Oryzias latipes: one gene and its partners. The protein of the gene in region 1 interacts with the protein of each later gene in a pairwise test. Links are inferred from orthologs where the notes say so. Each region holds a gene or a part of one and is shown on either strand. Other genes may lie near its edges.

Region 1 (2,751 bases):
TGTAAATCCGCCCTCCACCGGTCCACTTCGCTAGTTAAGTGCGGGAGCGGATTACTTCTTTTCTATTTTGTTTGTTACTTTTTCTGTTAAAGTCACTTCCCTCAGTTTATACTGGATCATCGCGGATTAACCATTAGTTGGGAAATAAAATGATAAAAGCAAAATAACGAATAGCAGTTATATAAGAACGAAAAATGTAAACACCCCCCCCCCCCCCCCCCCCCCCCCCCCCCCCCGACGATGTCATCGTCTATCCCGATGGTTGACAGCAAACACCGTCAACAGCCAAATTAGGGGACATCGCCCAACCCTAGTGCCCTTTGTTTAGTCACGAGGCGTTAAACGTCGGCGAAAAACGCCGGCAAAATTCGTCCCGGTGTGAACGGGCCTTTAATGTGGAGAAACAATTCTCAGATGAATACAATAGCAGACGTAACCCGTGCATCATTTCCTTACATTAACCCCCCCCCCCCAAACATACTGAACATAGAATAGGTCAGTTCAAAGGCAATCATTTTAGTTTAATGTTAGTCATTTCCACTCCGGAAACTTCAAAGTTTAAAAACAAACAGCAACCATCCCGTAAAGCGATCGCTGTGCTTTGGTATGACGGAGCTTAGATCTCGGCAGCGTTAAATCCCAGGTCTCTGGCGCGGCAAACCATCCTGCGAGGAGAACACAGAGCACGCCTAACGCCGTGGGCGTGGCGTCTCCTCCGTGGATCCGCACCGGGTCGGGTTTTGCTTTTGCGGTCAAAGCGACCAGCGTCCGAAAATGTCGGAGGGCTCACTCCAAGCAAGTCCCCCTGTGGGGGGCCTCCGTCACCACCCCCTTATTTAGTCTTTTAATGAAGTCCCCCCATTGTTTAGCTTTTTTCTTTTAAAGAGTAATGTACATGGTGTTCTGTTGTTGGGGTTTGGTTCTGACGACCAGGCGGTCGTCAGAACCAAACCCCAACAACAGAACTCGACTCTGGTGTTCCGTCGTTGGAGTTTGGTTCTGACGACCGCCTGGTCGTCAGAACCAAATTTTATAACGGCTGTGACCAGAGTCGAGTTCTGTTGTTGGGGTTTGGTTCTGACGACCAGGTCTGGTTCTGACGAATGTCTCCCTGCTCTCTTCAGGAACAGACCACCTTCATCTGCGTGTGCATCGCCGAGTTCCTCTCCCTCTACGAGACGGAGCGGCTCATCCAGGAGCTGGCCAAGTGTCGCATCGACACGCACAACATCATCGTGAACCAGCTGGTGTTCCCCGACGCCGAGAAGCCCTGCAAGATGTGTGAAGCGCGCCACAAAATTCAGTCCAAGTACTTGGATCAGGTACGAAGCGTCCCGGCGTCTGCCGTGAAACGGCGTGAGGTGGGATCCGCGCGCTCATTTCTGCCCCGTGTTCTTCCTCACAGATGGAGGACCTTTATGAGGATTTCCACATAGTCAAGTTGCCTCTTCTGCCCCACGAAGTGCGAGGAGCTGACAAAGTTAACACCTTCTCCAAGCAACTTCTGGAACCCTACAAGCCTCCAAACAAGTGATCCTCCCCGCAGACGCCTCCTCCACCCTGACGCCTCCTTCCAGCCGCCCTCAGATCCTCACGAAGCCTCAGCGCAATCCGCTCCGTCCCCCCCCCGCAGGGAGGGGACCCCACCCGCAGCACTGCGACGGCGCCGCCCATCCCGTCCTCCGGTCTTCATCGGTCTCGGTGTGTTTCCACATCTGATCAACAAGCCCCGCCCCCTCTGCTGTGCACTTGTTGGTGATTCCAGTGAACGTGTTTTTTTATTTCCAAATAAAACTGTTTTTTGACCTCTCCATATTCTGAGCAGACGCGTCTGCGCAGATCAGAAAGCAGGTCTCTCCGGCCGCCGTGGCAGCAGACGTGTCCCCGCCTCTCTGCGCTCGTGGCGTTAAAGCCGGCGCTCACCAGTGACATTTGGAATGAAGCTAAACGGCGGGCGTCTTACCCATACGGGGATGGTTTCCACTCAACATCCCTGCATTGATTGTCCTTCAGCAAAGTGCTCAGCCACGGGACCGTGACACCTGAGAACACAGAAATGTGCAGGTAGAACGCAGGTCAACTCCTCCTCTGAAACTCCCCTCTTCGTCAACGAAGGCTTCTGAGTCGGCGAGAATCTTTTTCTATAGGTTTTCTTTAAGTGAAACTGGCAGTGAGAATTAAACGCAGTTGCCTCAACTGGCAGTCTCCTGTTTATTCCTTAAGCCAGTGGTGGGGGGGGCTGGAGACTGACCCGCATGCAGATTGTCTCTGATGGAGCATGAAGCCCGTCAACCTGCACCAACACCCCCCGCTGAGAAAAGGGGATTCCTTCGCCGTCGTCCTGCCTGAAGCCGTCAGAGGAAGGACTGAAGGGTTCATTTACTTCACCCCAGTGTTGTCAGGTAAACCGTTACAGCCAGTGGGAAATCCACCGGTGGGTAGGAGGGGGGGTTGCAGCTCCATGCAATCATAATCTACCTTAAAGTATTAATGTACAGTAGCATTTCATTGACAGAAGTAAGTATTTGATCCCCTGGTAACCATTCAGAGTCCTGGGTCACACAGACCCGTTAGACTCTCCTTATCAACCGTCTGTCCCCTGTTTGAACTGATCACCTGTAGAAAAGACACCTGTCCACAGAATCAGTCCATCAGACTAGAGAGCTTTCAGTGGATTTAAAGGAGAAGATTGTAGACCTGCACCAGACCAGACTGGACTACAAAGAAGCAGGAGGTTACCATGACAACCGT
Region 2 (4,423 bases), on another chromosome or scaffold:
TCAAATTAGACATTTCTAAATGAATTATGCTACACATTTACCAGAGAATTAAGTGACAGAATAAGCAGTGTTGAGGAAGGAAATGAAAAAGCATATTGACGGATTGCTTTTTTATTTTAATTTTGAGTCAAAAAATGCAGCTTCATTTTGAAAATGAAAAAGCATTTCGGGTTTTGACTTTGCTTTTTATTTATGCTTCAGAATCGCTCCCATAGAATGCAACCACACAGTCAAAATTGTCTGTAGGGTCAGTTTTATCTGACACACTGCTTTAATGAAAAACCGCAGCAGATATTTGGGATCTTCAGGTTTGAGTTGACACAAGAAATGAAGTTTTGCTGCTGATGTGAGGAATTGCAAACAGAGAAGAGCGCAGTGACACATTTAGTTTGGTTTTGTCTTTGTGTCATCTTTAGCAGGAATCACAGCAACCCGATCTGACCTCTGACCTTGGTCCCATGTTTAATCAAACTCTTGCACTTTGATAATGGACAAGGACAGGTTGCATGGATCGGTGCAGATCGACTGGTGTGAGTGGACTCTAAAGAAGGGTGAAAGGTGAAGGAGGGAGAGGTTGCTTTGTTGATGCAGGATGCCCCCCAAAATAGGGTGCAGTCAAAGAGAGAAACAGCAGCTGCTGCAGGACAAATGAATCATCCGTCTGCTTTTGGAATGGCCCTTTAAGGGCTCTCCGTTGGGTGGTGGTGGCATCAGAAGCGGGTGGAGCTGAGCTCTTCTGCAGAAAGGAGGTCTTCTGTGCAGTTTGATGTTTGTCCTGACATGGACCTGCTCAGAGCGGACAGATGTTTGGACAGACGTGACGGAAACCAGGCGCCTTGGCTCCAACAGTTGGTACCAATATAAATAATGCGATGCTGCGTAACTAAAGAACAGCCGGTGATCAGCATCCTGACCATGCAGGAGCAGCAGAGAAACAGATTTCAGAATAAATGACACGAGTGGGACGGAAGTTCACATCGATCCTCATTAAGGTCCTACTTTGATCTATTTTCAAAGTGTTCCCAGTGGTCTTTTAGTAATGATTATGTTGTTTTTAGCCCAAATCAAAAAACTTTTGTTTTTTTCTGGGACATAGTTTCTGCAGAGAACAGGAGTTCATTAGATCAGAATGGAGCGGAGCAGGAAGCCTGTGACCTGCTGATTGTAGTTTCTAGGTAACAACCAAGCTTTTTCAAACTGTGTTTTTTGTCTGCTCCTTATTCAGCACAATTTGAATAATGAAATACTCAGAAACACAATTTTAATCTCAACACTGATGGGATTCAAACTAAAACCATGTTTATGTTTCTCAAGCTCACCATCATTTTATTTAATTTATTGTAGGTTTAAAAAGCTCGCATCCGACTAAAACCAAACAATCCTCAGCAACACTTGAAGTGAAAATCTCTCATCATAACCAGAACAAATCAAAGAGTTGGTGCAGTGGAGCAGAACTTCACCCGTCTGCTTCAAACCAGACGTTCATTAGAGGCTTCGACTGTGAAAATCCACGACAGGAAGCAGTTTGTTTGGGTTATAACCATTGACTGGATATGCCAACTTGATCCAGTCAGTGTGACATCATCCATAGAAAATAAAAATTCAGGCTCCAACCAAATAGTCATTTCAGTCGCCATTTTTTCTCAATACGGACACCGCAATGTTGGAGCCAGACGTCAGTAAGCAGTGATTGGTTTGAGTCATTGCTTCCATGGCAACCCCTTTCACCAATCAGGAGAGAGCCTTTTGGAAGGCCACACCCCTACCACGTGAGAGCGGGCTCGGGAGAATCTGTCAAACGTTTTGAGCTTTGGACACAAGACAACCTACTTTTATTGATGAATCAGATTAGTCGGTTCAGAACTTGCATAACTTGCGCTACGAAAAAGTATAATGAAAAAAAAAAAAGGATTATCAAGAAGAAAAAAGTATCAGATCTAGAAAGGTTCTTCTGACCAGAAGAATGACTGAGTAACAGCTGTTTATTTCTCTGTAGACGTCTATGGGATTTCGGCTTCTTGGAGCCACTTCCTGTTTGGAACGCCAGGGGGAGGGGCCTCTGAGGTCAGTGGTTGTAACATGCAGAACTTCAAAGGTCAAGCGGAACACATTCAGAGATGCAGGAGGGAGCACCCATGATGCATTTCTCACACTGTTTGTCCAGAACAATCCATGCCTCAGCAGCTTTTATTGACCTTCCCTACCCGACTCCTGGACCTCAGCCTCCTGTTCCTTCAAGACCTCCTCCTCGGTGACGCCTCCTGAAGGAGCATCATGGCAGCTTTGATGGAAACCTCAAAGAACCACAGTAGAAGCTTCTTCTCAGACCTACCTGACTCCTGTATCAAAGGTTGCATTTCCTCTTCCTCCTCAGTGTACTCCTCCTCCTCCTCCTCCTGCAGCTGCTCAGTGTGAATCTCCTCTACAGGAGCAGCAGGAGGTGGGGAGGAGGAGTAGGAATTCTCATAGTGGCGGAATCGCTGCATGGACTTTCTGCTGCTTCAGAGAACCCCGGATACAACACAGCAGCTTCAGGAACAAATGAGGAGTTTTGTTTCAGAGGAGAGAATCAGGAGGAGTAACAGGAGGAGGGACGGATTGAGGACAAACAAAAACATGAAAAAGAACAAACGCCACAAAGTGAAGCCAAACACTGACCCGTATCAGTGGCAGAAAATGAGAAGAAAAGCAGAACAAAAGTATCCAGACTCCAGCAGGAGAAAGCCAGCTCCTCCCTCTTCCAAAGCCACAAAGATTGTGAGGCTCCTGAAAAGCCAGAACCTGATCCACACTATTATTAGAGCCGACAAAACCCTGTGAGGCCCTGTGAGTGGAGCGGATGCCAGAGAGGACAAACACACCAACAAGTAACCTTGACACTCGTCTTCTCACTGAACCAAGATCAAACTGGTTTTGAGGCTGCTTTATCCAGACCACGTTAGAAAAAAAACCCAAAAACAAACCATCCACCTCCTGCTACCGGAAGAACACACGCTGAGAGGAGCAGGCCCAAAAGATGACCTCCGAATGCAGGACAGGACAAGGAGGAGCTGCTGCTCTGCTGTTGGGGTTAGAAGGACAGTCTGGAGTGTATCTGAAGGTTCCACAGTGATGCTTTACCAAACCAAAGCTGTCTTAGAACCTGTTTTAGGTCTGCTGGTTTCTGTTCAAAGGTTGAAACGGAGAGAATGGAGAATGGGTGAAGCCCCAACGGGTTACTTGGTGATCTAACCTGGCATGGCTGCACACTCACGCCCATGCACGTTCACACCTACAAGCCCAATTCAGACCCACCGATTAACCTATGCAGCGTGTTTTTGGTATGTTGGAGAAACCCCACACCTGCATGAGGAGAACACGCAAACACCACACTAAGCTGGGATTCAAACCTGCACCTTTCTGTTGTGAAACCAGTGTCAAACACTACACCACAGCCTCTGCAAAAAGAAAAGCTCTAACAGGGTAAGACCTGATGAGACAACTCTCTGAACAAAGTGTCACACCTGTCAGGCCACCAGGAGGCCCCCCGCTTTACTGTGACGTCATATCAAAAATGATAACATAGCCCCGCCCCCCGATCATTAGGAAAACGCCAAACGTTTCACTTAAGGTCACTTCCAGAAAGCGTTCTGGTGAACCGGGGCTTAAACATGTATATGCAGGGAAATATCACTGAACACCGGGATGAAAACAAGCAGAAACTCTGCAAACATTTTTAAAAAGTTGAATTTCTTTTACGAGAGCAGGAGGAGGAGGAGGAGGCTAAGTTAGCTTAGCTCGGTTAAATGAAGGAGTGAAGAGGCGGGTTTAAGAGCATCTGTACTCCCACATGGGTCCGTCTGGTTCAGAATGAGGCTCTGACACATCTTCAGGCAAAATAACCCGAACAGGACCGCGTCAGACCAGTTCCAATCCGATCCGGTACGGTACCGTTCGGTTCTGGAGCACCGACGCCCCATGACCACATTTAGTCATCGCACAGAAAAGCGTCTTTCGGCCTGGACTAAACACACAGACTTCATCATTTAACCGTTATATTGGTTTGATGATGACGCAGGGACCGTGAAGGCAGCATCATCATCACCGTTGCTGGAGCTCTAAATCTGGATCAGAACCCAGACCCTGAAGGCAGCCTGTGTTCTGATCCAGATGAGCTTCAGCGTGTCTGCAAAAACAGTTCAGATGTGCAGACAAACACCAGCAGCTAAGGTTACTGACCTTTTCTGGAGTGGCTCTTTGCGTTCTTTCTCTGCGCCATTTCCTCGTAAACTTCCTGATGCGAGCTTCCCGGTCTTAGCAACTCTGACCCAAACACCGTCTCTGGTTCTGCCAGCGAACGGGAGCGACGCCACTGTGACCGGTTCCGCTTTCAAGCTAGTTCTCAAAACATTTAATCACGTCCTCATGGATACCAGCAAAGCCT
Region 3 (4,447 bases), on another chromosome or scaffold:
TCAGAAAAATGCCACAAGCTGTTAAAAACAGCTAAAACAACAAGATTTATCATCTTTAAACGAGATGAATGTCAAATCTAGATGATCAAATATTTCAAAGCATACCAATGAACACAGTTCAGTGCAAATGTTTCTCATATCATAACTTAAGATCTATTGCCAGTAAATTGTATTTCATCTAAGTTTTTTTTAATTCAAAATAAGTTATGCTAGACATAAAAACTAACTAAATTGAGAGAAAATTACATTATGACAGATAACCGTTCTTATCTTATCTCAAGGTTCAAGAGTGACACATAAAACAAAGTAAACGAAAGCACTACACTGCAATCCCTCATCGTGAGCGTGAAACGAAACCTAATTTTCCGGACTCCGGAAACGTAACTAGATCAGATGCACCCAAGCATCTGATGCGTTCACGTTCACCTGCTCTCACGATGTTAATCGATCCCTGATTCTCAACAGCAGTCCCACGTCGGTTTTGGGGTGCAGGCAGGAGCACAACACCGAGCCTGGTCGTTAGCTAAACTTTAAAAACAGAGCGGTTAACTAACTGTGAGACTAGTTTAGAAAGTGCCAGCACCCATGTAAACAAAATAAACAGCCTTATTTGAAACCCAGGAACGCCAGTGTTTATTTTTTAAATCGTTAACGTTCAGTTCCCGGCGGATTCTGACGTCCCAGAGTTCGTTTTTAAGCTAGCTAGCCGGTGGATGAGGCTCGAGCTAGCTACAAAAACACATCAAAGATCGGGTACATCGCTGCCGCACGGCAATTAAAAACAAAAAAACAAAAACGAAGGGACGTGGTCGGACGCTACCCCACTCATAAGCAAGCACAGACTCACTTTGAAGTGTGAGGTGGGTTCCGGATTATGGTTTAAATCTCTCCATGGTGAGGCTCCGCGTCATGTTGTTCAAATCCCACGGCCCTGGTCAAAACAGCGACCACTGACGCCATGTTAATACATTTCGCCCGCTGCATTGTGGGAGTGCCAGTGATGATGGTGAAGAGGGCGTATTGTGTACTGCGTTCAAGTCTGCACGGAAATTCCACCATTAATATAAGGTGGTTCTTTTACTTTCACCCATCCACATTAGCTATCTAGCTGAAGAAAAATGAAAGCATGGTAATCGTTAAAGGTAATTGTTACTTAGTTAGCATTGATTTAACCCTACTTAACTACTCAACTAAGACAAAATCATTGAAAACATGTTTTACTTTTCCTGCTGCTTATTGCTTTGGGGAAATAAACACAATCTTTGTTTTTACAAAAATGCTTTTTAATCTGCTGGACTGTATGGTTGTACAGGCTGTTAAAGGGTTGATTTTAGATTATTCAAGTTTATATAGGCCTACTTACGGTCTGTGTTGTTGTTGTTTTTTTTTGTTTAAACCTATCTTTTAAAGGGAAAATTCAAGTTTTTCTAAATGTCCACGAATGGTATTGGTTTGAATTTTTCCATTTTTCAACCTGTCATGCAAAGAATACATATATTTTTATTTATCTCTATTTCTTTGTTTTATTATTATTATTATTATTATTATTATTATTATTATTATTATTATTATTATTATTATTATTATTATTATTATTATTATTATTATTCATTGGAAGGAAACGCAGTCATTGGAGTGTTTAGGAACTGCAATAGTTTTATTTTTACAACCTTTTCCCGGAAGTCACGTGCCACAGCGTGTAGCTTGATGGTGACAGAAGTTTTCCACAGACCTGGCAGTTTTAAAGTAAGTAATAAGGAATAATTTTTTTGTTTAATATTCTTTTTTCTTTTTTAAAATTGTTGATACTACTATTTTTTAAAGGAAACGTAGTCATTGGGATGTTTACGAATTGCATTCATTTTATTTTTCCAACCTTCCTCCGGAAGTCACGTGCCACAACTTTTACCTTGACAGTGACAGAAGTTTGCAGCTGAGCTGGCAGTTCGGCAGAAAAGATGCTCCGCTCAGCGCTCGCCGTTTTTGTAACACTATTCAGTCTCTCTGAAAGCAAACAAAAGGACTTTTACACCTTCAAAGTTGTGAACAGCAGAGGGAAGCTCGTGTCTCTAGAAAAATACCGGGGTTCGGTGAGTCCAAATGAAATAAACAAAACTAACAGAACCTCTTCCTGCGCCGAACCTGGATGGAATATATTTTGCGGGACCTTTCCGCTCCTTTTGCATGCCGGCATGAGCGCATCTTTTAAGAGAGTGCTTTAACTTTCTGTCTGCAGATGGGACTAACACTTGTCTGAATGCTGTGGGGCGCTCGGGCTCCTCTCGGTAGTCTACGTGGCAGGAGGCCTGCAGCTGTAGGAGCTCTGCAGCTCCCATGAACTACTAGTGAAGGTACCACGATCCAAGCTGTCCACAAACGCAACATTTCACTGATGCATTAAAATGCACACGAAAAATTAAAGCCCTATTATTACAATATTGTTTTCGCAATTCTTTCTATCTGCATTTTTGGATGAACGTCCTCAAAAGTGATGACATCACAGGCGGGCGAAACCAAAATGAATTAGAATGAGAAGATTAAAAGTCAAAGCAGAAAGTTACACAAAATATTAAGTTATTCAAGTCACAACAAGAGCTCAACAGTTTGTACTTTGGTTTCAATGAAAGCATCGTATCTGATGCTTTGTTTTGTTTATTTTGGGAGGACTATAGATTTTTATTTTAAACATTATGATTTGTTTATGTTTAAATAAACGAGAGGAACACACTGCACCCTTTAAAGCATGAATGAAGCTCTTGCATGTGCTGATCTGCACTAACACTTGTGTTTGGGACCTGCAGCCTATAGATTTTATTGATTCCTTTTGCATTATGACTAACAGTTTCACGTGATGTATCACGTGATGTAATAAAGGAGAGAGAAAAGATTTTTTTTTGCCTTTATTATTAAATGTTTCCCGTTTAGTTTTAAACTGCTATCAGAAGAAAGCGTGCAGTAGATCAAAGATCATATAGACTTTGATTTATAATATAATAATAATGGATTGGATTTATCTGCGCTTTTCAAGACACCCAAAGCGCTAGTGTGTCCATTATTCATTCACTCCTCATTCATACTTGGTGATGGTAAGCTACTGTTGTAGCCACAGCTGGCCTGGGGCAGACTGACGGAGGCGTGGCTGCCAGTTCGCGCCTACGGCCCCTCTGACCATCACCGGGATCATTCATGCGCATTCACACACCAGTGGAGCCACACTGGAGGCAAGGAGGGTGAAGTGTCTTGCCCAAGCACACAACGGCATTTTGGCTGGTGGGAGCGGGGATCGAACCGCCAACCCTTCGATCATTGGACGACCCGCTCAACCACCTCAGCCACTGTCGCCCGATTTGACTGAACGAGAGAAGATAATTTATTCTTTCATTTCTATTTATTGTTTTTATTCAGAACCAAGAAAATTGGTAAATTCATCGACCTCTCATGGGGGGGGACATAATTGCTAAAAACTTATTGAACCTTTTTCATACTATAAAAGTTATTCTTTATAGTATAACCCAATCATTTAAAATAAACATTGAAATAAAAAGAAAATAATACACATATCTTTCTAAAATTAATATAAAGACCCACTCCGATCATCTTTTGATCTCTTATAAAAGTGTTTCCAGTGGTCTTTTAATTATGATTATGCTGTTTTTAGCCAAAATAAAAACATATAAACATTTGCTTACTCTCTCTCACTCCCCCAACCTAAAATTAGCGGTGCAACAAAAATGGCGAGCAATATTAGAGCTATCCAGTTGTATGGTTTTGAGCAAGACGCCTGCTCAGACGAGGAAAATGAAGATGTTCTTGGATCTATTTGTCTCCAAGTGGATGCATCAGAATGGAGCGGAGCACGGAGCTCAAAACAAATACGATCTTTTTTTTCAACAGCATGTTTTTGTCTGCTCCTGGTTCAGAATGTTGAAGTACTTAGAAATGTAGTTTTGAGCAGAATTTTTGTCCTCCATCCTCAGAAAATGCCACAACACCAAAAACATACTTCATCAGAGTGAATCTATGAAAGCAAATTTGGGGAAATGTTTTTTGCCGGCTTGTTGTCACTGTATTTGTGTTTCTTCAGGTGTCGCTGGTGGTGAACGTAGCCAGTGAATGTGGCTTCACCGAAGAACATTACAAAGACCTGCAGCAGCTCCAGCGGGACTTTGGCTCAAGTCACTTCAATGTTCTGGGTTTCCCCTGCAACCAGTTCGGGCAGCAGGAGCCGGGCAGCGACAAGGAAATCGACAGCTTTGTGCGCAGAGTCTATGGAGTCTCCTTCCCGCTGTTCAGCAAAATCGCTGTAGTTGGAACAGGAGCCCATAATGTCTACAAGTATCTTGCTGGTAAGATCTTTGATCCCCCAAAAGAGCTGCAAATGTCTACTGCTCACAAAGATAACCCCCTTTAATCTGTGCAGAATTGAATCTGTTAACTCAGGAGATGT

Evidence for each region.
Region 2: the proteins of asna1 (region 1) and aspartyl/asparaginyl beta-hydroxylase interact in binary tests that used the Homo sapiens proteins (3 or more experiments, as listed by UniProt). The two-hybrid records come from large-scale screens. The link is inferred for Oryzias latipes from reciprocal best matches to the Homo sapiens genes GET3 and ASPH.
Region 3: the proteins of asna1 (region 1) and gpx7 interact in binary tests that used the Homo sapiens proteins (3 or more experiments, as listed by UniProt). The two-hybrid records come from large-scale screens. The link is inferred for Oryzias latipes from reciprocal best matches to the Homo sapiens genes GET3 and GPX7.

The regions. Positions count from the first base shown.
Region 1 is NC_019859.2:35,305,789-35,308,539, forward strand, and holds the end of asna1 (ATPase ASNA1), read left to right. Parts: intron 1-1,124; coding exon 1,125-1,322; intron 1,323-1,405; coding exon 1,406-1,534; 3' UTR 1,535-2,196; downstream 2,197-2,751.
Region 2 is NC_019878.2:3,471,864-3,476,286, forward strand, and holds the start of aspartyl/asparaginyl beta-hydroxylase, read right to left. Parts: upstream 2,808-4,423; 5' UTR 2,659-2,807; intron 2,530-2,658; 5' UTR 2,487-2,529; coding exon 2,333-2,486; intron 2,262-2,332; coding exon 2,196-2,261; intron 1-2,195.
Region 3 is NC_019862.2:22,280,092-22,284,538, forward strand, and holds the start of gpx7 (glutathione peroxidase 7), read left to right. Parts: upstream 1-1,633; 5' UTR 1,634-1,746; intron 1,747-1,819; exon of another isoform or gene 1,820-1,917; 5' UTR 1,918-1,958; coding exon 1,959-2,090; intron 2,091-2,236; exon of another isoform or gene 2,237-2,351; intron 2,352-4,084; coding exon 4,085-4,346; intron 4,347-4,447. UniProt on the Homo sapiens protein: It protects esophageal epithelia from hydrogen peroxide-induced oxidative stress. It suppresses acidic bile acid-induced reactive oxygen species (ROS) and protects against oxidative DNA damage and double-strand breaks.